Alligator mississippiensis: one gene and its partners. The protein of the gene in region 2 interacts with the protein of the main gene of each other region in a biochemical or structural test. Links are inferred from orthologs where the notes say so. Each region holds a gene or a part of one and is shown on either strand. Other genes may lie near its edges. The genes, in order: HMGA1, PRKCA and MGMT.

Evidence for each region.
Region 1: of the proteins of PRKCA (region 2) and HMGA1, one has a biochemical effect on the other in vitro, tested with the Homo sapiens proteins (2 studies listed by BioGRID). The link is inferred for Alligator mississippiensis from reciprocal best matches to the Homo sapiens genes PRKCA and HMGA1.
Region 3: of the proteins of PRKCA (region 2) and MGMT, one has a biochemical effect on the other in vitro, tested with the Homo sapiens proteins (2 studies listed by BioGRID). The link is inferred for Alligator mississippiensis from reciprocal best matches to the Homo sapiens genes PRKCA and MGMT.

Annotation. Positions count from the first base shown.
Region 1 is NC_081837.1:37,338,195-37,346,167, forward strand, and holds the start of HMGA1 (high mobility group protein HMG-I/HMG-Y), read right to left. Parts: upstream 3,085-7,973; coding exon 2,983-3,084; exon of another isoform or gene 2,597-2,982; intron 2,402-2,596; exon of another isoform or gene 1,255-2,401; intron 304-1,254; coding exon 181-303; intron 1-180. UniProt on the Homo sapiens protein: HMG-I/Y bind preferentially to the minor groove of A+T rich regions in double-stranded DNA. It is suggested that these proteins could function in nucleosome phasing and in the 3'-end processing of mRNA transcripts.
Region 2 is NC_081831.1:5,228,810-5,236,822, reverse strand, and holds the start of PRKCA (protein kinase C alpha type), read right to left. Parts: upstream 3,008-8,013; 5' UTR 2,740-3,007; coding exon 2,582-2,739; intron 1-2,581. UniProt on the Homo sapiens protein: Calcium-activated, phospholipid- and diacylglycerol (DAG)-dependent serine/threonine-protein kinase that is involved in positive and negative regulation of cell proliferation, apoptosis, differentiation, migration and adhesion, tumorigenesis, cardiac hypertrophy, angiogenesis, platelet function and inflammation, by directly phosphorylating targets such as RAF1, BCL2, CSPG4, TNNT2/CTNT, or activating signaling cascade involving MAPK1/3 (ERK1/2) and RAP1GAP.
Region 3 is NC_081829.1:78,338,341-78,345,282, forward strand, and holds the start of MGMT (methylated-DNA--protein-cysteine methyltransferase), read right to left. Parts: upstream 3,046-6,942; 5' UTR 2,946-3,045; intron 1-2,945. UniProt on the Homo sapiens protein: Involved in the cellular defense against the biological effects of O6-methylguanine (O6-MeG) and O4-methylthymine (O4-MeT) in DNA. Repairs the methylated nucleobase in DNA by stoichiometrically transferring the methyl group to a cysteine residue in the enzyme.

The DNA of each region.
Region 1 (7,973 bases), on a different chromosome or scaffold from region 2:
GTGGAACCTGAACTGCGGCATTGCCAGCCTCCTCGGGAGGAGGGCATTTTGGTACCCAGACACCAGCAGGCCCCAGGTTGCCAAGGAGCAGCATCAATAAGCAACCATGGCAACTTGGAGGCAGCAAATGGGGAAAGGTCATGCGATTCCCTCTTCCCTTCTTCCCCCACAGGTACCTACCCTGCTTTTGGCAGTGGCCTTGTTTTTGCTCCCCTTTGGTCTGCCACGTGGTCTCTTGGGGGTCGGGGCCTCGCTGGGTTCCTGCTGAAGAGAAAGGGCAAGGCTGTCAGCGGATGCCCGGATCTATGGTGATAAGCAAAGAGAAGAGAGACAGGAGTGAGCAAAGCCAAGCTGCAAAGCAGAGCAAGATCCCAGCTCCCTGCGCTCCCCACCCAAAAGCAGCTGTCCCGGAAATGGGGGGTTCCCAGCAAGACGCAGCAGGCGGGCCCTTGGTGACGGAGACTGAAGAGCATAGCCTCCCCACTCCTTCAGTGTCATTAGAAGTGATGGCAAGCATGCACTCGGGAGAGCCATCCTCCCTGCTCCATCCAAATCCCTTGGGATACTGCAGTCGGAGAGGGAGCTGCTGCAGGGAGGGGCTGGCAGAGTCCAGCCAGCACCTGCAGGGTACTTGCACTGCAGCCGTGCATGCTGGGACATGTAGTTTCAAAGGGCCGGTCCTTAGAATTTAAAGCGGACGGACAGTGAGGCTGGGCCGGTGCTTAGATTAGATGTGTCTGAATGTGAGCCACTCACCTATGGACAGGAAGCACCAGCTGCTGCTTTGGAGTGGGTAGGGGAACGGATCAGATAGGGGCTACCTGAATTGAGGGACCTAACCTGGAGGGGAGTGGAGGGAGGGAAGGAGATCAGCTTGCCCAAAAGAAGCTAAATGCTTCCCCCCCACCCCAGATTTGGAGCAGAAGAAGCAAAGCTCTGGGAATGATCTTGGAGACATCAGAAAACCCTTCCCCTGCAGAAAATGCAATCAATCACCCCAGCTTCAGGGTCAAGAAACCCTAATGCTGGGAGACTCATAAAAATGTTGTGAATTATGCATTCCACTAGGAGATATGAGCATCGCAGCTACAGTTTCTAATACCCCGTCGCTTGCTGTTTATAGCTGCGGCTATTAGAAAACCAGTAATCCAACACCGGCAGCCCTGCCCCCAGCCCTGCAGAGTGATGGCCTCCTTCCACCAATCTGAGCCCTGCCAGGCAAATATTCCTGCCGCCGGAAGAGGAAGGAGGTGGGAGTTGCTGGCTCAGGTTGGTTAAAAGATACCAGGGGTCAGTTTCTGACCTGGGCTGGTTGGTGTAAATCCAGAGCAACTCCACTGACAGAGATAAGAGCTAGGCTCTGAGCTTTCCCATGATACATGCTCTGGGTACGTCAGCTTTCCCATGATACGTGCTTTGGGTCTGTCAGCTTTCCCTTGTTTTGTGCTAAGGGTAATTAAGCTATTGCTACAGCAATAGCACATCAGGGAGATGCCACTTGCCCAGGGCAGGGCTCTGCTACTGGAACAGGTTTCACTTTGGGCCTGGCCACTGATTCACTGCCCAGCCCTCAGCAAGTCTCTTAATAACACCTGCAACATATGGGCTTTATAAAGGAAAGGTGTCAGTCAATCATCCCCGCCTGAACACAAGTGAAGGGGCAGGTAGGATGCTAATTAGCTGCTGCCGTTCCACACAATAGGGAGAAACCCTCTGGGTCCCTTCCCCATATTACAGCTTGAGCGGCCCAAGTGGTTGTTTCAGGGCAGAACAGAGATGAAGTCACAAGCCTGTGCCTCAGGGCTTGTATTTGGGGAATTTAGACCCAGGCAAAATCCCCCTGCTTCAGCAGAACTGGCTGGAGCTTGAGTAGCACCCAGCTGCTTCCATCAGCACTGGTTGCATTTGCTTTTTCAGCAGGGTTAATTGACATGACTACAAGGACCTCACCCACAGAAGCCCTGTCTGCATTATGGCTCCTAGATCAGCTAAGCCAGTGATGGGTTTGGTAGGATTCACTTGATAAATGCTCCTGCTGTAGGGTCTCACAGATTGTGATCAGGGGCAGTGTTTAGCTGGAGCATTTTGAGCCCCTTGGGCCTGGCAGTGAGGACAGAATTAAATGCCTGTAGGACCAAGTAACTGATGAATTCAATACAGTGCTACTGGTCTGGATAGGCTCTTTCTGGGGCAGATGCTGCTGCTATAACAGCTGAGCAGGAGGGAGTGCTTTGGTAGGGAAATTCTGCTAGGCTCTTTCCCTGGGAGAAGTCCTACAGGTCCTTGCTGTCCATGTACAGCAAACAGAGCTGTGGTTTGTATCCATAAGAAGAGCTGAGTGCTGTTCACCTCTGCCAGGCTGAGCCCAACATGTGGGAGTCAGACTGTGACTTTAATACCAGTAAGTGGCTCTGCAACCTAGGCTGTTTCCTCATCCTTGGGGAAGGAGTTGCCTTGTTCCTTGTTTATGCCTTAATGCTTCTTCCCACTGCCTTGCTTTTTCCCCGTGGCCCTGGCAGGCCAAGCAAGGTGTGGAAGGTGCATTGCTCTTTTTGCCCTCTATACTAGTGATTTTTTTTTTTTTCCTTTTTGCTAGGCATGCTGCAGAGACCCCTGAGCTAGCTCTGTATCCACTAGCTTTGCATAGGAAGCAGCATAATTGCAATGTTGTACAAAGGCAGCTCTGCACCTCCTGTTCCAGAACTGTGTGCGATCGCGTGTAAAGCTGCAGCATGATGCTTGTGGGAATGGGTAGGTTAGGGGTCAGCTACTGAGTATGTTAGTGGTACAGCTGGGAAGAGATATGGGGGCCTTGACATCCCAACCCTGTGCCCTACCCTCCAGACCATGCGGAGGGGGTTAAGAAGAGAGGTATTTCCAGGGCTGAACTTAACTCATGAAAATGCCTTTCCTCGCTGTAGATGTCCAGCACCCAGCTCTCCTAGTCTCTAGAGCAGGGTGGAAGGAAAAAATTCTCTGTACCTGCGGCTTCTTCCTGGGCCGGCCCCGTCCTCTCTTCTCGGAGACATCCTTCTCCTGTTTTGAAGCCAGGGGTTGGCTGGATTTTGCACTGGATTCACTCATTTTTCTATCTTCTGGGTCATGCAAGAGAGAAGACAGGAGGGTGAGTCAGCCGCATTTTCTATGTGACATGGATATAATGCTTTCTCTGTGACCTGGGCTGTGTAGGTGACTCTCATCCCTGCTTCACTGATGGGAGGGAGCTGAAGCCCAAGGAAGGCAAGAGTGAGTCATAGAGGGTCCTACGCCCAGTTGGTGAATGAGTGTTGAATAGGATTGTCATAGTTCAGCTCCTTCCCTCAGCCCTGTGTCACCCTGTCCTGGTTGTCCCCTCTAGCCTGCCCATGCTGGACAGTGTTATCCAGGCCCCTCCAGTGGCTATGACCTCCTGGGAGGGGGCTGCTCAAGTGTCCCCTCCTTTGTACGTTCAGTTTGCACCCCTTTTCCCCCACTGTTGCATTGCCTTATGGAGCAGTTACACTTGGAGCAGTAGGACAAGGTCTGGGGTTTCCTTCAGACTGTGAAGGCTTTTGGTCTCCTCTTTTTGTCTGATGTGCTAATGAGAGGGGAGAGCAAGTCATCACCAGGGATCCTGGTTTTCTCTGATAAAAAAAATTGCAGATTCTCTGACTTAAAAAAATTGTAAACTCCGTTATTAAAATTAAAGGCCTGCTGGGGGGACAGGTGCCAGGGCTATGGAGCCAGGGCCCCAGCCCCGTGCAGAAGGCAATGGCTGCTGCAGCAGGAGCCGGCTCCCCCACTGCTGCTGTGGGCTGGCTCCGGCGCAGTCCCGGGTGTCAAGGGGGGGCCGTGCCCTCCAGATCTGTGTGCAGGGGGGTAGGGGGCAGGCGGGTGCACGCTGCAGACTTGTGCTTCCCACCCTGCTGCCCTCCCCTGCAACCTTCGCAGCGCAGTGTGTGCAACCTGGTGCGGCACGGCACAGCGGGGAGGCGCACGAAAGCTGCCTGCTGCTGCGAGCTCCGCGCTGCCTGGGTCGCACCTCCCCTGCGTGCACAAGGGGAAGTAGCACACGGTTGTGCCCCTCACCGCTGCTCCTGCGCACACAGGGGAGGTGTGGCCCAGGCAGCGCAGAGCTCGCAGCAGCAGGCAGCTTTCGTGCACCTCCCTGCTGTGCCCTGCCGTCCAGGGTCACACACGCTGCACTGCAGAGGTTGGGGGGGAGGGCAGCGTGCACCCGCTCTGCCCCTTGCACACAGATCTGGGGGGCATGGGTCCCCCCTTTCTGGGGCCATGTGGCATGGGTGGGTGCTCCATGGGGGGCTTCCCCCAACACCTCCTTGCTCCTGCAGCCACACACCAATGCCCTGCCCTGCTGGCTCTTCCCCCAGCCCTGGCAGTCACCCCCACCCACCACCTAGGGCCCCTGCCAGGGGCAGCCCCCAGCCCTACTTACTTCCCAGGCTCCAGGAAGGGGAAGTGAGCCTGATCCAAGCCTGGGGGGAGTGATAGCCTCAGGCCCTGCCCCCCTCCTTCCCTCCTCCTCCAGGCAGGCCTGGGGCTTTCCCGCTCTTTTTGCAAATAGCCTGCAGGCTGCAACTCTGCTTGCCTGCAGAGCTCTTTGCAAAAGCAGGGAATCCGCAGGTTTCTCTGCTAAAAGAGGAACATCCATTTTTTTTCCCCCTGCTAAAATCAGGAAATCCATCCATGGTTTTCTCTGTTTTCCCGTGGGAAATGCAAAACCCGGATCCCTGGTGATGCACAGGATTGTCATGGTCCAGCTCCTTTTCCCCCAGCTCTGCGTCGACCTGTCCTAGTTGTCCCCTCTCGCCCGCCCGCGCTGGACAGCATGATCCAGGCCCCTCCAATCGGTGTGATCTCCTGGGAGGGAGCTTCTTGGTGTCCACTCCCAGCTTTCACCCCGTTTCCTCCACTGTTGCATTGCATTATGAAGTGGTTGCATTTGGAGCAGCAGTGCAAGGAGCTTTGGGGTTTCCTCCACACTTAAGGCTTTTGATCTCTTGTTGTCTGATGTGCTAATGAGAGGAGAGAGCAGCTCACCACGGTCACACAGGAATGGGGGGCTGGAAGGGATTGGAGTTCATCCCCTGTGTCCGTGGGCACCCACCTTATTAAAGCCTTTTCCTGAGCTGATGGAGCTGCTGCCCCTGAAAGAGAGCTGTGTCTTGCCCTAGATACTCCTACAGCTGCTCCACAGCCTCAACCGTTGGGTGCTCAGAAACCTCCTCCTAACTTTGCAGCCTATATTTGCTCCTAGTTGATTTGCACCCGTGATGGAGTCAGCGTAGTGGCTGTCCTCTTGTCTGGACCCCACTGAGCTCCAGTCTGAGCTGGAGCCCTGTGAAGCACACCTGGCTCTTATCCCAAATCTCAGTTTTCAGAAGTGGCCTCCGACTCCATGCATTTTGAGGTCGAGCCTCTGGGGGAATTGGGCTCTTTTTTTTCTAACCGAGTCCGCATAGATGCTCTGAAGTACCCAGTAATAGAGGGTGTTTTTGAAAACCTGGCTGCAGCGGGGTACCACGTTGCCTAGCTGAGGAGGGCTCAGGTGTGGTGAAGCGGTGTTGGGAGCATGTGGTCTCCCAACTGGGAGATGGGGGAATATGTGATTTAATGTACTGTCCAGTGCTTTGGGCTGAGGGCGGTTTTGTGCAGCTCTGGTGAAGGGAGGGAAGGATGCAACTGCACCACGTGGAGCTCTAAGCGTATGTGCCATGGAGAACAATCTTGCTGTGGCAGGTAGGACTGTAAAGGGCATCTTTATCTACCAGGCCTATCTTCTGGGGGGGACCCTGCTCCACGTGTCGACCCACGTGTTGGGCGGTGCATCCTTTCCTGTCTCGGCCATGCTTTCTCTGCATTGCTTCTGTGCTGCGGTCCCATTGCTTTATAATACTCGTATTGCTGAGATCAGGGCCCTGCTCTGCTAGGTGCTGTACAAAAGCCACAGGAAGTGAGTTCATCCCCCGCAGAGGGCAGTCGACAGGACAAGCCAAGTAGTTTTAACCAAGCCGCTCTACTGCTGGGCAAGCAGAGGCACAGATGGAAGAGGTGACGCGTCCAAGGGTATGCAGAGAGCCCAGAAGGGGCCTTAACCTCAAGGCCAACTTCTCACTCTGCTTGCACGACTCCCAGTAAAACCCCACCCAGCTACAGTGATAATATTTTCTGGTTCAACTACCTCTGTTACCCCAAATCTCTGCACCCTGTGGACTGTCCACAGCTGGATCTTCAATGTGTGGACAGCAAACTGCACCCTGCAGTAGCCTTTCCTATTTTTTCAGTGGATTCTGCCAGAAGCTAGGAAGAGAGAGGGGTCTAACAGGAACAGGCCACGCCTGTCGAGTAAAAACCTGCCTGTCCTAATCCTGCAGCCAGTGAGGCCTCCTGTTCCTAAAATCCTACTCTGCCCCCAGCTTTTCTCAGCTGACTGAAAAATGCCACTTTGCCGCAGCTCGCGCACAATTCCCGGTGCCCTCTCCAAGGATGGTCATCGTGGACCTGGTCAGAGCAAGGCTCCACCAAGAAGCTGCTTTCTATCCCCCTGGCACCAGGTAGGAGTTTGCAGGACAGCGGGGAGCTGACACCAGATTGCCGGATTTGTGGCCTGCTGTTATCACCGTTATTTCACACGACCGAAGCCAGCAGTGACTCCAGCGCCAACCAAGAGCAAGATCGGGCCCGCTATGCCCACGTCTTAAAACTTCTTTTCATCTCGTTGAGGTGCCAGCTGATGGGGCCAAAGAAGCTCAGGCAGTCCATAACTTTGACCATCCCATGCACCTTTGGTTTGACCCATGGCCTTGATTTCACAAAGATGCCCAGCAGGCCCTCTGTGCGCCAGAAGTTGGAAGCTTTAATGTACTATCACGCATACGTTTTTATAGATTAAGCCAAAAAGAGGCCAGCTATTTAGCTTAGTGATTCTCAACCGGGGTGCAGTAGCTCTCTGAGGTGCCTTGGGATCCTTTCAAGAGTGCTTTGGGGTGGGCAAACGTGGTAGAGCAGATATGCCCAGAGACCTCAAGCAGGGATGCTTAAGTGTTTAAAACCGCTCTGCTCTGTTGTGGTCTCCCTGAGTCCTTTGCAAACAGAAGACTAGTCTCTTTCTGTATTGAAAAAGGGTTTCCTGAGGGGGTCCTGTCTCATGGGGTTGAGAACTGACCTTCTGCCTAACATGGGCTGTTGGACTGCATCCAGGCATGCCTGCATTCAGCCCAGAGCTAGACCAGAGGATGGTTTATGTCAGAGTATCATCAACGACCCCAAACCAGCAGGGCATGCATCCATGCATGAACACACACAGACATGCCAAAGGGCTGCTGTCTTGCCCCACTTCCCAGCAGCTGCAGAAACAGAAAGGGGGCTTGGACCCTACTGCTCACTCCTTAAGACTGAGGCTGCCCAACTAATAACCGCTGTCAGGCATCTTTCGTGCCACAGCCTCCAACCCAACAGCTCAGTCACTGAAGAAACAGTGTTTAAAACCATTGTAGCCCCCCCCCCCCCCTCCTCCATACTGGCCTGGGACTCAATCCGGCAAGCCCTTACATTGAGATGTGTGCAGAATCAAATCCCCAAGCTCAACCTCGGAGGTTAAAGGCTCAATGTTCCTCCCCCTTATTGCTCACAAGGTTTAAAATGCCAGCTCTTTCAGAAGGTAAGTTGTTTGCCATCAGCATTTGGAATAATCCCACCTCCTAGTTGGCAGATACCAGAACAGGTCCAATTCAGGAAGCATCAGCAAGCAGCTGGGAAATGAAACCTGTGAGCAGTGAAAGGCAGATCTCACCAAAACAACGAGCCCCTTCAGCCCCCAGACAAGACTGTCAAAATAAATCTGTTCCCAAACAGTTTTTTAGCCTCAGCTACAGCTGATTGCTTGCAAAAAGTCTCCTCCAAAGGGGTGGTCTATCTGGAAAAGCTATTAGGAATAATGTAGGGTGTGAGTTTCAAGTTGAATAAACACTCCA
Region 2 (8,013 bases):
CTATGTACATGCTTAAGTACATATGTACAAGTATGTATAAATACATAATGTTTTACAGTCAAGGCAAAACACTACCTTGATTCTTCATGTTGGATTTTGACATTAATTGCTCTCTGCCAACACAAATAAATGTTTCAAGTTTCTCATTTATGAGAGTTTACAAGTATTCTGTTTTTTTCAAAACATTTTCCATTTGTCACGTAGCTGAGAGGGATCATGGTGAGAGAGAGAGAGAACTCATCAAAACCAAAGACCAACATACAGCAAAAGATGGTAAGCTGCATAGGCCTCTTTAGCCACAATAAGGAGGATGTTCAGTTGTAAAAAATTACAGCTAAAAAAATAACAACATTTTCTTCATACCTAAATGTTAAATTGATTTTGAGAAGTTAATAATTTAAAACTCCATGTAACCTTTCATAAAAAGTTATTTCAAACTGAATAGTGAACTGAGTGTTGATCTTACAGAGACACTCACTTTACAAAAGCCATCCCACTGCTACCTGAATGCGTTTACCTACCGCTGTTACATGAGATGTCTAGGATTAAGGAATTCAAACAGGATGATAACTTTATTTGTTTTTGTCTACTTTGCCTGTATTTTGTGTACAGGTAATTTCCCTGTTTGGGTAAATCACTCTACAAGACGGAAGTGAAAGTTATCTTTTAACAATATACAAATAAAAAACCAAAAACTGACTAATAGGACTAAGAACCTGAAACTATCTTTAGCTTCTTTTTTTTCCTTTTTTTTTTTCTTAAGTGACTATTTCTACACAACTGTGATCAGATACTCTGATCTTCCTTAGGGTTTGGGCTGAAAGGTGATGGCTCATAGTTCAGTCAGTTTTATGCAGTCGAAAGTATACATGTTCTTTTTTAACTTTGAGTTTCACATGCACACAAGAAAACTGTTTGTTAGAAAAAAATTCCATCAATTTGCAACTCTAAAAAAAACAATTGGTTACTTGGCTGGATTCTTAAGTGGCAAATTAGAAAAGAAAAAAAAAAAAGGATAAGGACATTATTCCATTAAAAAAATGATAATGATTGTACTTGACACACTCAAATTATCTGAAATAGTCATCAACTCCATTTTAATCTCTGCTGTTCTTTAGGAAATAGTTCTGTGAAAGCTCATTCAACAGTCAGGTGTGCCCTCAAATACTTCTGCGTGTACCCTGTGACCGAGCCAGCCTCACGGGTGGGCGACGCAGGCAACTGCGCAGGGTGCCCGGTCAGGGGAGCGCCACCCTGCCCGCCCATCCCTGCCTCCAGCAGCTGCTCAGGAGGAGCTCGGCATGGGCTGGGGGCTGTGAAGCTGGAAGCCCTTTCCCCAGCCAGGTCCTTGAGGCACCACCATGGGCAGGGGCAGTGGTGTGGCTCATTTGCCCCCTGCCCATGGGATGCCATGGCCCGGAGGACGGGAACGAGCCAGTGCAGCCCGTCCCTTGCCCATGCCGAAGAGCAAGGCCCTGGGCACCCCCTTCCCCGAGGCCGTGCAGTAGTTTTGTGTGCCTTCACGTATTTCTGCATATGCCACATTCGCTGTGCTGCGTGCGTTAAAGTATCAATACTTCACCTCACTTTAAATCAGCCAAAAAACAAGTGTACCGATACTGTTGCATGCTGCGTTAAAAATATTTAAGAGCTTCCTTGGTTTCCTAGCGGGGACTGACAAGTCAACAGAGTACAATTACGCTTGCCACCTGCCAGTGACAGGATATCCTTCCACTACCAAATGCATCCTGTAATCAGGTACCTTTTATCATGACAGCGTTTAAGAAACAAAAAGAGAGAGAGAGAGAGAGAGAGACCTGCATTATTTATCTGTACAAACACAGGCGACAATAATCTTGTAGCGTTTCTTTCACACCTGCCAACTCTTTTTGGATTAATTTTAAAGCAGGTTTGCGGGGTTGGATTTTGGGGGGGGGGTTTAATTCCCTTACTTTGATTCAATTTAGTTTTGCAATTGAGCGGTCACAGATTGACAAGCCAGATCTTTTTTTTTTTTTCCTTTTTCTACCTCGCTCTGCAGTGCGTTTCAGCAGTTTCTCCCTGACCCTAGGTCTTCGGTTGGACGCCTTCCCCCTCCCACACGTCTTTTGTGCGTGCTAGCGGGCTCAAAGCGGGTCTTTCCCTCGGAGCACGGGTTACAGCAAAGAGGGAAAGGAAAGACCGTGGAGTAGGCCGTGCGGAGGGAAGCAGCCTCCCCTGAGAGGAGGCAGGTCGCTCTCCCCGAACAAAAAGGACGTGAGCGGGGCACACCGCTTCCCAGAAGTGTGTACACAGCAAGCCAGTCTTTCTCCCTCAGCAAATAAGTTGAGTTTTTCTTCCCTTTCTGTTGTGGACACGAACTTGTGCTACACAGGTGTGCACACCCACTCGCCCCACGGGATGCCAAGGAGTGTGGCTTGCACGCTCGCCCCACTCTGGGCGAGGGAGCAGGGCTTGCACACCCAGCCCCTGCTCTGTGGGAAGGGCGTCCCTCCGCCGCCCGCTCCCAGCAGCTGCGGGCGAACTTTTTACCCCCGCCCTCCCTCCCTCCCTCCGCGGGCGGCGGCGGCGTGTCTCTCACCAGATGAAGTCGGTGCAGTGGCTGCAGAAGGTGGGCTGCTTGAAGAAGCGCGCGGTGAACTTGTGCTCCTTCACCTCGTGCACGTTCTTCTGGCGCAGGGCGCCCTTGCGGGCGAAGCGCGGCGCCGCCGGGTCCGCGCCCGCGAACACGTCGGCCATCGCCGCCCCGCACCGCCGCACAGCACCGCGCCGCACCGCCGCCGCCGCCGCCCTCCCGCAGCGCAGCGCTGCGCTCGGCTGGGCGCTGCCTTCCCTTCCCTTCCCTTCCCTTCCCTCCGCGCCGCGCCGAGCCGCGCCGAGCCGCTCGCTAGCTCCACCGCCTCCCGGGAGGAGCCGCGGGATCCCCGCCCCGCCCGGCACGGCACGGCCCGGCCCGGCACGGCACGGCACGGCACAGCCCAACGGGGCGGGCACCTGCCGCCGCTCGTCACTCGCCCCGCCCCGCGCACTCACACACACACACACACACACACACACACACACCCCCCTCAGCCGCCGCCTGTGCACAGCGCACCCGCACTGCCCCTGCACACACACGCTCTACCCCTGACAAGCATTTGCACAGCCCCCCTACACACCCACACCGCCCCTGCACACCCACACACGCACAGCGCCAGGGGCATGCGCAGCCCCGTAGCCACACACACACACACACCCTCTCCTGGGGGCACGTGCAGCTGCACGCCTGCACCACCCCAACATGCACACACACACAGGGCTTGGGGACACACACAGCCCCTCAGCCACCGCCTGTGCACAGCACGCCCGCACGCCCCTGCTACACACACCCGCACCACCCCTACACACACACACCCACATCACCCCCGCTACACACACCCGCACTGCCCCTGCTACACACACCCACACCACCCCTACACACACACACCCACATCACCCCCGCTACACACACCCGCACTGCCCCTGCTACACACACCCGCACCACCCCTACACACACACACCCACATCACCCCCGCTACACACACCCGCACTGCCCCCACTACACACCCACATTGACCACTTACACACACCCACACCCCCTACATACACCCACACCGCTCCCGCTACACACACCCACATTGACCACTTACACACGTCCACACCGCCCCTACACACAGCCACACCACCCCCACTACACACAGCCACACTGACCACTTACACACGTCCACACCGCCCCTACACACACACCCCCCTACATACCCACACCACCCCTACACACACCCACATTGACCACTTACACACACCCACACCACCCCCTGCTACACACACCCACACTGACCACTTACACACATCCACACCGCCCCTACACACACACACACCGCCTGGGGGGGCACACACAACCCCTTTAGCCACTGCCTGAGTACAGCACACCCTGCATGCGCCCCTTCCCCCCCCCCACACACACACAGTGTTTGGGGACACACACAACTCATTGCAGGACACCCACAGCCCCCCTCAGTCAATGCCTGTGTACAGTACACCCCGCACTGCCTCCCCCACACCCACACACACATACACAGCACCTGGGGGCACACACAACTCACTGTGCGACACCTGCAACCCCACTCAGCCACTGCCTGTGTACAGCACATCCTGCACCACCCCCTACACACACACACACACACACACACACACAGCACCCAGGGACACATGCAACACCCTCAGCCACCATCTGTGCACAACTCACCCACACCACCCCCTTACATACACCCACACTGACACCCTGCTTACCCCCACTGCCCCCCTACACACACACAGCACTTGGGGACACGCACAGCCCCCTCAGCCACTGCCTGGGTACAGCACCTCACCCCCCCCCACACACACACACACACACACACAGTGCCTGGGGGCATGCACAACTCGCTGTGGGACACCTGCCACCCCTCTCAGCACTGCCTGTGCACAGCACATCCTGCACCGTCCACCCCCTACACACACACACACCCTACACACACACACAGAGCACTTGAGGGCACGCACAACTCCCCATCAGGCACCGGCAGCTGCAGGCCACCATGGGCACATAATCCTTCCCTAGTATGGTCCCTGCCACACCTGAGGTGTGTGACACAGTTAACCAGTGAATCCCACAATAAATGTAGAGGGGCATAATTATGACACAATGATAACGAGTTTGCGACTATAAAGAGTCAACCCGCTACAGAGTTAATTCTTGAAGTGTGTGACAACTCCAGAGCTGGTTTCTACCCAGTTTGAATTTGAATGTGGAGCAGGGCCCTACGGGACAGACCAGGCCACCCCCTGGCATCTACAGCCCCAGCTACCACAGCTGGGACCCGCACTGGCTGCCTATCGCCCCAAGAGAGTCAGCCCATACACAGCTAAATTCACTGCTTCTTCCCTCCCTCCACACCCCCGCCCCCAATGTAATTGTTCTGCATTTACAGATTATTATCCCCCTTCTGTACTTACAACACAATTAGAATCCTATCTTAATACTTTCTGGCTTTGTAGCATTTGTATTTTTGAGGAAAATTGCAACATCCTCTTATAATGGGTTTGTTTGCTGCTTTTGCTTTGGGTTTATTAAAGTCGTTGAAAGGTTCTTTCGCCCCCTCCCCTCCGGTATAGCTCCAGTACAGCTTTTGTTTAGGAATGTCTTCACATATTCAAATGTATTTAAAAATTACTCAGTGAGAGGAGTTGCTATCCTATGGCCTGTGGGTTGGATTTGGCCTGCAAAGAGGTCCAGTCTGACACTGGGGATTTTATTTGGCCACCTATTACCCCTGTAGCGTTCACTCCTCTGTTGACCCTTCTGCTTCTCTCATTGCAGAGGCAGGTGGGGATCAGAGGAGAGGGTAAATGCAGAAGGCTGGCTGCTCCAAGGGGCAAAGACTTGTGGCCTGTCATAGGGGCTGGGTCACAAAGGGCAGCTAGACCCACAGGTTCCCATCTGGCTTTCCTGCCTCTGTACGTGATGGTCCTTTTCCTCATGCTCCTTCACTGAATGTGCAATTTGCATTTGGTACATTCATAATTCCCATAAAGATCATGGCTGCACCCAGACGGGCACGGCCATGTGGTCGATGTGGTGCTGCAGGCACCAAGTACGGCACGTTCAGATGTTCTCAGCGCTGCTGCAAGGTAGCAGCACAGGGGGTGCAAGAAAAAGTGGGGTGGCACATGCAAGGACAGCACATGCCACCTGAAACTGGAGCCTGGCTGGCTAGAGCCACACTCCACTGCCAGCCAGGCTCTGAGCACCAGAATCGCTGCTTCTGCAGCCCCAGGAGGCCCCTAGGATCCCAGGTATGGCTGCTGGGGCCAGCCCAGAGCATAGGTGTCCCCCAGTCTCTCCTGCATAGGTGTTCCCCAGGGGCAACTAGCAGTGGCACAAGGTGTGCTGCTGCTGCTTGTCCCCGGGGAAACAAACGTCCATGGCCACGTGGATGCGGAAACAAACATTACATACAGTTTGTATTTTATTCTGAAAGTTGTTTCCTCCTGTTGTTTCAGTTATCTCATTCCATGAGAAATGAATTGTTTTCAGACATTCATCCAGAACGAAGGGTGATTTCAAGGAGAATTCACCTAAGTCCCAGAATAACACCACCCTCTCCCTTAGCTCTGCCCATCCTCTTGAAGGCTCCAAAACGATGTCCTGTAAAAAAAAAAAAGAAAGAATTTACCAATTACAAATGATATCAACTGAACTATCCGGATACTTTCCTATCACAACCCAAACTGATTTTAATTCTATCCAACCTCTTTGGGCAGGAAGAGGGAAATTCCAGTTTCCTTGCAACTGTTCAGGACAGACCATTTTCAACGAACCCCATGGAATTAAGCAATTTTTTTCTGTGAAATTGCCTGGTTGTCACAGCCTGCACATTTTTTATACTGGAGCAACCACGTCTGTCACAATCCTTCCAGTCTCAAATTCCACAACTAAATTTGCAGCGGCTTAGAGTAGCCAGGCTGAAATGTTGACCCTCTGATACAACGGTTCTCAGATGTTTTGAGCTGAGCCCCGCTTTGAATTACAATTTTGCTTGCACCCTTCCCCCTCCTCCCCCCCTTTACCCCAGAGGAGCAGCGCAGCCAGGCACAGAGCGCCCCTCATCCTAGTAGCCGTCGCAGCTCAGCACGGCTCGGCGGGGCAGGTTCCACCCACCGTGGCTCCGGCACCTCCTGCCCTTGGCCCTGCTGCAGCTCTAGGCTGTGAGCCTGCCATGCCAGGCTCCCAGAGGCACAACTGCGTGCTGGTAGAGCCTGCCTGGAGCTCCCCATCCCCGTACCCCGCCGCGAGGCTGCAGCAGCACCAACTCCTTGCAAACTTCTTGTCTGTGTCCCCGTAACATTCCTTCACCCCCCAAGGAGGGTTGTGTGTGCCCCACAATTTGAAAACTGCTGCTCTGATACTTCTTCAGATGGTCCTTATGGATAACTTTTGATTTAATCCTGAAACCTGATATACCACTTCATTTTTTGGATGGATATTTTATCAGACATCTTCCAAAGTTTATCCCTCTTAGGACTCATACCCTTCTTTCTGTTATGGTTCTTATTTGGGAAAGGTGTGACCTTTTCAGTTTGGGATTGTCAAGTTTCCACATAGTCCATATTGTGATGAGCAAGTTTGATTTTACCCTAAAATTAAAATAGTTTTCTGTAGCATACTGTTAAGTTAACAATAATTTAAATTATTAAATAGTATTAGCTTTGTAGCTAAACACAAGGCATGACCTGTGGCCTAGCAATGTTGCTAACCACAAGACAAAATGATAGCTAAGCCAGCCATTTTCTTATGTCAAGTGCCTTAACCATTTTGTTAGAAAAAAGCAGAAATTAAGTCTGTGTACTGAGTACCAGCTGCAGCTAGGAGTGAAATAAGATAAGGGGGGCCCAGAGGGAAGAAGATGGTACAGTGGAGTACAGGAAAACAGATTAGAATGTGTAAGATAACACTAACTTTTTTCTTTTGGAAAAGTACTAAGATTTGTAATGCACCATGTAAGGAGATAATTACCATAAGTATTGCATATTCAATAACCTTGTAGTTTTCTTTATTAGAAAATGTATAAAAAACAGCCCCACCCTTAAGTCAGGGCCATTTTGCCTCTTTGCTGGTTTATAGTCTTTACTCGAGTAAATAAACTGCAGTTAACCCTTCACCCGCGTTATCTGGTCCCTATGCCAGCTAAACAACGGACACTAGGGAGTTTTCTCCCACGACAGTATAGTCTGATTTGGCATCTGGACCATTCATCAGGCGATGAGCGTGCTGGATCTTTTGGATCCTTAGAATCTGCCATCTGAAACACTTGGGATTCAAGTTTCTCTCCCTGATCTGTAAGTCACCTGGGCTCCAAATTAATGACATATTTTATAGACACCATCTTGGTTCCTTATTGGGTAAACGTCAGGCAGTTTTATACAATAATCTATATATTGACTGCCTCAGTTTCT
Region 3 (6,942 bases), on a different chromosome or scaffold from region 2:
CATGCAGTGAACACAGGAGTAGGAACCAAACCTAAACTGTCCCATATCCACCTCATAAAATCCCTATAGGTCTCATTCTGCAGAACAGGAGGCACAGGTGGATTTATGTCAACTCTGCCCACTTATTCCACCATTTCCACCAGAGGCCTTGGGACTGGCATTCATAAACAGAAAGAAAGGCAGGGCTGGTAGAAGCACTTCCAACTTATCAACCCTCCATAGAAATTCCATATCACAGTTAATTTTTACTCAGCTGAGTAGCACCCCCTGAATAAGCAAGATGGAATTTTAATGCACAAAGGCATCAATTGGAGTGTGTGTATTGTGGCTCAACTGAAGTTACATTTCTATGCAAAAAGGGAAGACCAAAGGCCACAAAGACAGTTCAGAAGCAAAGACTCTCTCTGCAGCCAGTCCTACTGGATTTCCAGTCCCCAGTGGATTTCCAAGGGTTTGCAGGCCAAAACCTTAATCATTTCTACAATGGGGCTATCCCTTGCTATTAAGATAAACGATTCCAGGTGACGTACTGCAGCATTTCCAGTCCTCTTATCCCCCCTCCCCACCACACACACACTTTTTTTTTTTTTGCTTAATGGACAATGGAGACTCAAGAATAGTCAACTTTGGCACTCGTGCTACCTCGAAAAAGTTACTTATTTACATTATACTTCATTTCATTACTTGTAAAAGGATAATAAACATTAAATTGAAGCAAGGCTAGTTATATGCTGCTTTGAAAATCTGAAAAACTAAAACAATGCATATAATCACTTTTTAAGATAATAAAAGTATTAAACATCAATAATTAAACAATTAGCAATAGCTATACTGTCATTTACTTCCTGAACAGTTGGAGTAGCAAAGTAGCTTCTTTATCTATATTTGCTTTTTCCAATTTTTAGAACTTCTGGACATAATTGTGATATTTCGCCATATTGTACCATGAGCTTTTATTTATTTTTTTAAGCAAGAAGCAATATACCACTTAATCTTTATTTTACATTCTCCTTACTTTCTCTCTTACATTGGAACTGTACTTGATTATTCAGTCTTGCAGCCCAGTTTCAGCAAATGAAGAGATCTGGAATGCAAGTGCCTCCCTTTTCTCTCCCTTTTTGGGGACACATACATGTATGACAGAAATAGACGCAAGGTGTTTGTAGGGGCTAGCTTTTTCTTTTGCTTTTATTGTTTCAGTAGAAGCCTTAAGGAGTCACTTGATAACACTAAAAACATATGTAAACACAGTAAACATACTGATTCCACCCTTAATGATACATGCAGAATTATAACAGGCTTCATAAAACTCACCCCTGTAACCTGCCTATATGCACTATCTGGCATAGTGCCCCCTTACACCAGGAGGAAAGCAGCGGATGACACTGACTGGCAGTACAAGTCAGACAACTGCCACCTGCTATATGGGCATCAACCAGCACACCCCCCTCTCATCGAGAAATAGCTTTTTGTCCTGTTCCATACCATTCATGACGTCATCGGAACCAGCCAGATCTACCCTCTGGCAAAAAGAACGGGAGAAACTAGGAAACTAAGCTGTTGAATGGAGCCAGTAATGAAGGAGTTAGCGTCCAGCTCCCACTACAAATGGCACATGTGGCAGAGCCTGAACAGACTAAAAGCGGGTCTCAGCAAATACAACTTTCTCATGAAATCATTGGGCCTCTACACAGCCAGCCAGTGTGTTTCTCAGGAAAAGCAAACCGTGAATCAACTCCTGAAATGCCCTGTAGCACCACAATGCATCCCACAAGATTTGGCAACAAGACCACCAGAAGCAGTTGCCTGTGCAGAATATTAGGAGCAGACCATATAGAAAGGATGGCCTGGAGACATGACAAGAAAGAAGACTAAAAATATGGTCTCTCCACAGCATCTTAGATCCTACAGGGGTGCAGGCCAGCATGCCACAAATTAGTCACACAACATCCCTTGAGGGCTACTCTAGCACCGCCCCTCTGCTTCCTGCCTGATCTGCTTCTCTGATTTTTGCTTCCTACACTTATCTGCTGCAGTGCTGCCTGCTCCTTCCCTCCTCTGCCACATGCCACACAGCATCCACTCTCAGCCACAGGCAAGATGCACCTGGGGCCTGACCCAGTACAGAGCAGCTTGTATGTTCTGGAGAGGCTGCCTGTGCCTAGGCCACGTCGTCCCATTAATAACACCCTGGGCAGGGGGTGGGGAGGTCACCTCAGGGAAAAAAATAATCAAGTTGATACTGCAGAAAACAACTGAGCTCTACAAGAAGACTCTGCTCCCTCACGCAGATCCAGCTCCACATGCCTGCTGATACAATCGGCTGCAAAGGGGCCGGCACTGCCGCTCTCATCTTGTAAGACAGGGTACGGGTGCCAGAGCCTGGTACGTGACATTTTGCATGGGGCAGACGGCAGAGAAGGGGCCAGGGTTGTGCTGCCACAACAAGCATCGGGCCCCTCCCCTGCCTGCCCCTGGCACACCAGCATCTTAGGAACAGAGGCTGCAGGTGTTTTGGGGCACTGCCCAAAAACCTTGCCAACCCCCATTGTAGGAGGAGCTGCCTGGGGGCAGGGAAATTGCCCTGAGCCTGCAGCTCCGGATGTTTTGGGGGCACCTTTCTCTGCACACCGAGGAGCGCGGCACTTAGGCCTTGGGGAGTAGAAGTGATGCCCTCTGGCAGCGAGGGGTGCGCTTTCAAGAATATACTAACGGGTCGCAAGCAAACTTAAAAAAAAAGAAATAATAATAAAAATTAATTTTAAAAAAGGGGGGATGGGGAGATGTCAGCCCACTTGAAAAAAAAGGGCTCCTGTTTTCAAGGAGAAAAAACGTGGGGAACCCTGTCTGCCAGGGGCTGCTTGGGGCCCTCCCTGTGCCTCACACACGGAGGGGTCGGCACCGGCCGTCTGGGTTCACGACTATGGGTCATGGTGCAGCCCCACCTCCTCCTCCTCGTCGCGGCTCGGCGCTGAGGGCTCAGACCTCCCGGGCGGGCTCCAGCGCGCTCCGCCCCGCCCCGCCCCGCCCCGCCGGGAGGAAGCGGAGCGCGGCAGCCCCCCCGCTTCCGCCTGCGCGCGGGGTTGGACCAGCAGCCCGCGCAGGCGCAGCAGGGGCTGGAGCCGGCCCTGCCCGGGCTCAGTGCGGCGCGCGGGATGTGGCCGTGCCCGCGGGCGGTTGTACAGCCCTGAAGGGAAGGAAAGAAGGCGCTGTTGTCCTGGGGAGGGGGGTAGTTGCTTTGATGCAGAAAAGCCCGCCTGGGCCTGGCTCCAAGCTCCTGGGGGAAGCCGGTGTGATCCTCACGGGCCTGGCAGGGAGGGGCAGGGCAGTGTTCCCATTGCATAGGCAGGGAAGACTGATGTGGTTTGCCTCTTGCCCCTGGTTGCGCCCACGCCGCAGGCTATGCAAGTGCCAGGCAGAAGCGCCACCAGCACCCGGCCGCCTGCTGGTTATAAGAAAATACCCAGAGATTGCTGGCAGGGGAAATGCCCGTGCCACGAAGATGGCGGGGGAAGGACCCTGCCCGAGGTTATGCAGTGAAAACGGCACTGGGTCATGGAGGGGCGCAGCCTTGTCTGCTTGCGAACAAGACTCCCTCCGACAGCCTCGTAGTAAGCTTCCTGCTCAGGTGGGGGAGGATCTGGGCTATGTGACACCTTGATGGAAATGGGAGACTGCTCCTTAGCTTGCTCCATGTGGCCAAGGGCAAGCCCAACTCGAGGGCATCTGAACCGCAAGCTTCCAGGCTCGGGCCTGCAAGCGGGATGCCCAGCTAATGATTTGGAAGCACCGGGTGGGTGTGGAGGGTGTTTGTCGGTTGTAGAGCCATGTTTGGTTCTTGAACGCGTCACAGATTTGGAATGGATTTGGCTAGTTTGACTTGGACGTGAAAAAATTTCCTTAAAAGTTAACATCTAAAGATTTCTGATACTTTAAAGGCTGATACTGTAGCAAGTTGGGGCAGAGCCCAGTTTTGATCATCAGAGTTTTGTAGGATCCAGTCAAGAAGATCCAGCTTCATTTTTTTCATTTGTAGAGTCGTAAAGACGGGGATGAACACAGACAAGCTGAGGAAGTCTATAACTGGGGAATTGCCAAAGGAAGTGGTTTGAGTAGCGAAAGTTGTGTTAGAGAAGACATGGAGTGAGTTGCAGAGTTGGTGATGCTGAAAAAGGTAGGGTGAGGCTTAGATGAGTTAATAAACCATGAGGAGCAGTGAAGAGGAGTTACTAAAATTTACCAAAAAAGCAAAACCCCAAATTATTAGAATTCATTTTAAAGCTCTTTATATACATTTGGGAGATTCTGGAGTGTAATCATGAGACTGTCAGACAAGTGAAGAATTGACTAATGAGGGAGACCCGGACAAAAATGTCTTTCCCTTTTGTGATCGAGCATCGTAACCATAAAGGCATCAGATTTAAAATCTGGTAACAGATAACCAGATCACTTTTGTGTTTTGACTTCAAGGAATTCCCAGCACTTATTTTCTGAGAAGCAGACTTTTTGAACTCCATGCCTAACTCAACTCTTTGTTCTTTGGCTCCTCAGTTTTCGATCCACTTAAAAAAGTGTCAGGAGTCAGGACAGCAGGCAGGATGGTTAGCCCCAGCTGGGCCTAACTACCTGAGTGCCAATGTTGCCAAGTCTCACTAGAAAAAATAGTGGCACTGCCTTTAAAAACAAGCCGAACCCACTTCAAGCCCAAAATAATCCCTGCGCCCAGCCAGGGACTAGGAATTTTGGTGTGGCTATAGCCCCCACCCAAGCTCCCCCTAGTGCCGCCCCTGCTAGCAGGGCATGCAGCAGGGCAGGGAGCTGCTCCAGGACTGGGCTGGGGTCTTGTGGTGGTGACAGCATGGTCTGGAGGTGAGGCAGAGCCACAATTTGCAGCCTGCATGCCGCAGGCAGGGACGTGCAAGCAGCAGATCACGACTTTGTCCTGGCTCGGAACTATGCTGTAATCCACTGCCTGCATGCTCCTGCCCAGTGTATGCAGGCTGCAGATTGTGATTCTGGACCATGCCATCACCACTGCAAGATCCCAGCCTGGTTGGAGCAGCTTTGCACCCTGCTGCATGCCCTGCCAGCACTGCTGGGGCCGATCCACATGGAAACCCCAGCCCCGTGCTCTCAGAGCCTGGCTGCTGCTGGGGTCTCCATGAACACCCTTCCCACCCATGCCCAATTCCAGTGTCAGAGCAGCTATTCAGCAGGACAGAAAAGTCTGTGTCTAGCCTGAGCTTTCAGCTTCTAGTTCCCTGGTTCTTCACTTGTTAGAATCTAGTTCCTCATTTTTTGTTCCCATTTTGGATCCTGCTCTTGTTCCTGACTTGAGTCCAGGTCTTGGATCTCATGGCTCTAACCGGGACTCCTTTTTTTCAGACTTGCTGCTTCATGACCTCTCCTTGTTCCCAACTCTAGTCTAAACTCCCCTGTCTTCTGACAGCTGGCTCTTGTCTTATAGTGTTAGTTTGGTAGTCACCAATGTCCTGGTCCCTTTTAGCTACAACTGCCTGCTTGGGACCCCCTGGCTAGTGAGGCTGATCTGAATCCTTGCTTTTCTATTCCTGACTCCTGCCCCCTCCCCTGCTAATAGTTTGCCTGCCTTTGTCCTTGTCTCTCTCAGACTTCTTGGCTCTATTTTGGGCCTTGTCTGGTCCTGACTTTGTCTGCTTTTAACCCCCCGGGTTGTGAATAAAAAGTCTTGAATGAAAATATTTGCCATAGGCATGTTTTGTTTTCTGTCCCCCTTAAGAGGGAGAGCATAGTTACATTTTGGTTGAAGAATCATCGCTACATTAATCCACAGGTCAAAAGGTCCAGATATCCAAACTAATTTCTGCTGTTAGCTGCCATTTGCAAACAAATCAAGTTTAAAAAAAAGGCTTAAGTGGTCTCCAGGTTGAATAAGAACTAATATAAATAGTTAAATAAGATTAAAAGAGCTTCATTCATGCGAGCACTATTTTGGTGAAATGGGTTTGGAATATCAGAAAGCCCTGAGGCTTCAGATGGGAGGTTGCATTAAACCTGGCAGCTTCTGGTCTTGGGCCATGGTCTATTATCAAACCTTAAAATCAGAAGTACCTCTGGCTACAAGTACCTAAATGCTACAGGTTGGGACCTGTTACCCCCTAGTTTTTCTAAAAGAGCTGAAATCCTTGAGCCTGCTACTGTGTAGTTCAGGGTCTAGAAGAGCTGGGGTAGCTAAGTTACTTGAAGAGAAGTGGCAACCCCTAGCAGAACAGGAGCAGGGAACACTGGTGACCTCTGGCATGGGTCCTCACCCAGCACTTAAGCTGTCATAGGTGGTAGAGGCCCAGGGAAGATCCGTGCATGAGTCTCCCTTCCCAGTGTGGGCTAAGTAGTAGAGCTCCATTTCAATTTGCTCTATGATAGAGCAGGGAGTCCCTCTGTTAGCACCCTTCCCTAAGAGGTCTACCAAGCGGACAAAGGAGTGGTAGGGACTAGCAGCTACACTAGCTGCCCTAGCTATTAAGTTTACCCTGATTGAAACTGGGAAAGAACTCTTAATAGCATTGACCACGGTAAACTGTTAATAGTCACTTGGGGTGCAGACAGAAATTACGTGCATCCCACGATAGGTCCCTTGAAAGTGCTCTAAAGCTGCACCCAAACAGAAAAGCATAGCTGCAGAGCCTGCTGATGGTACAAAAAATTAACCCTCATTGTATGAGGGTTCAAATGAAGATATTCCTAAGCAGACCAACTTCATTAATTTGTCTGCTCCAGCTGCAACAGCAGCCCAGCCAAGCTGCTGTCTCTGAATGGGATTGTGAGAAGGTGGGGGAGGGAGGTCCCTTCTGGGTTTTTCTCAGCCCTGCTAGAGTGAGACAGGTGGATTGGAGTCCTTCACCTTGGGGGGTGGGGGGAGGAGGAGAAGGGGAAGACTCAAATCTACCTACCCCCACACTGCAG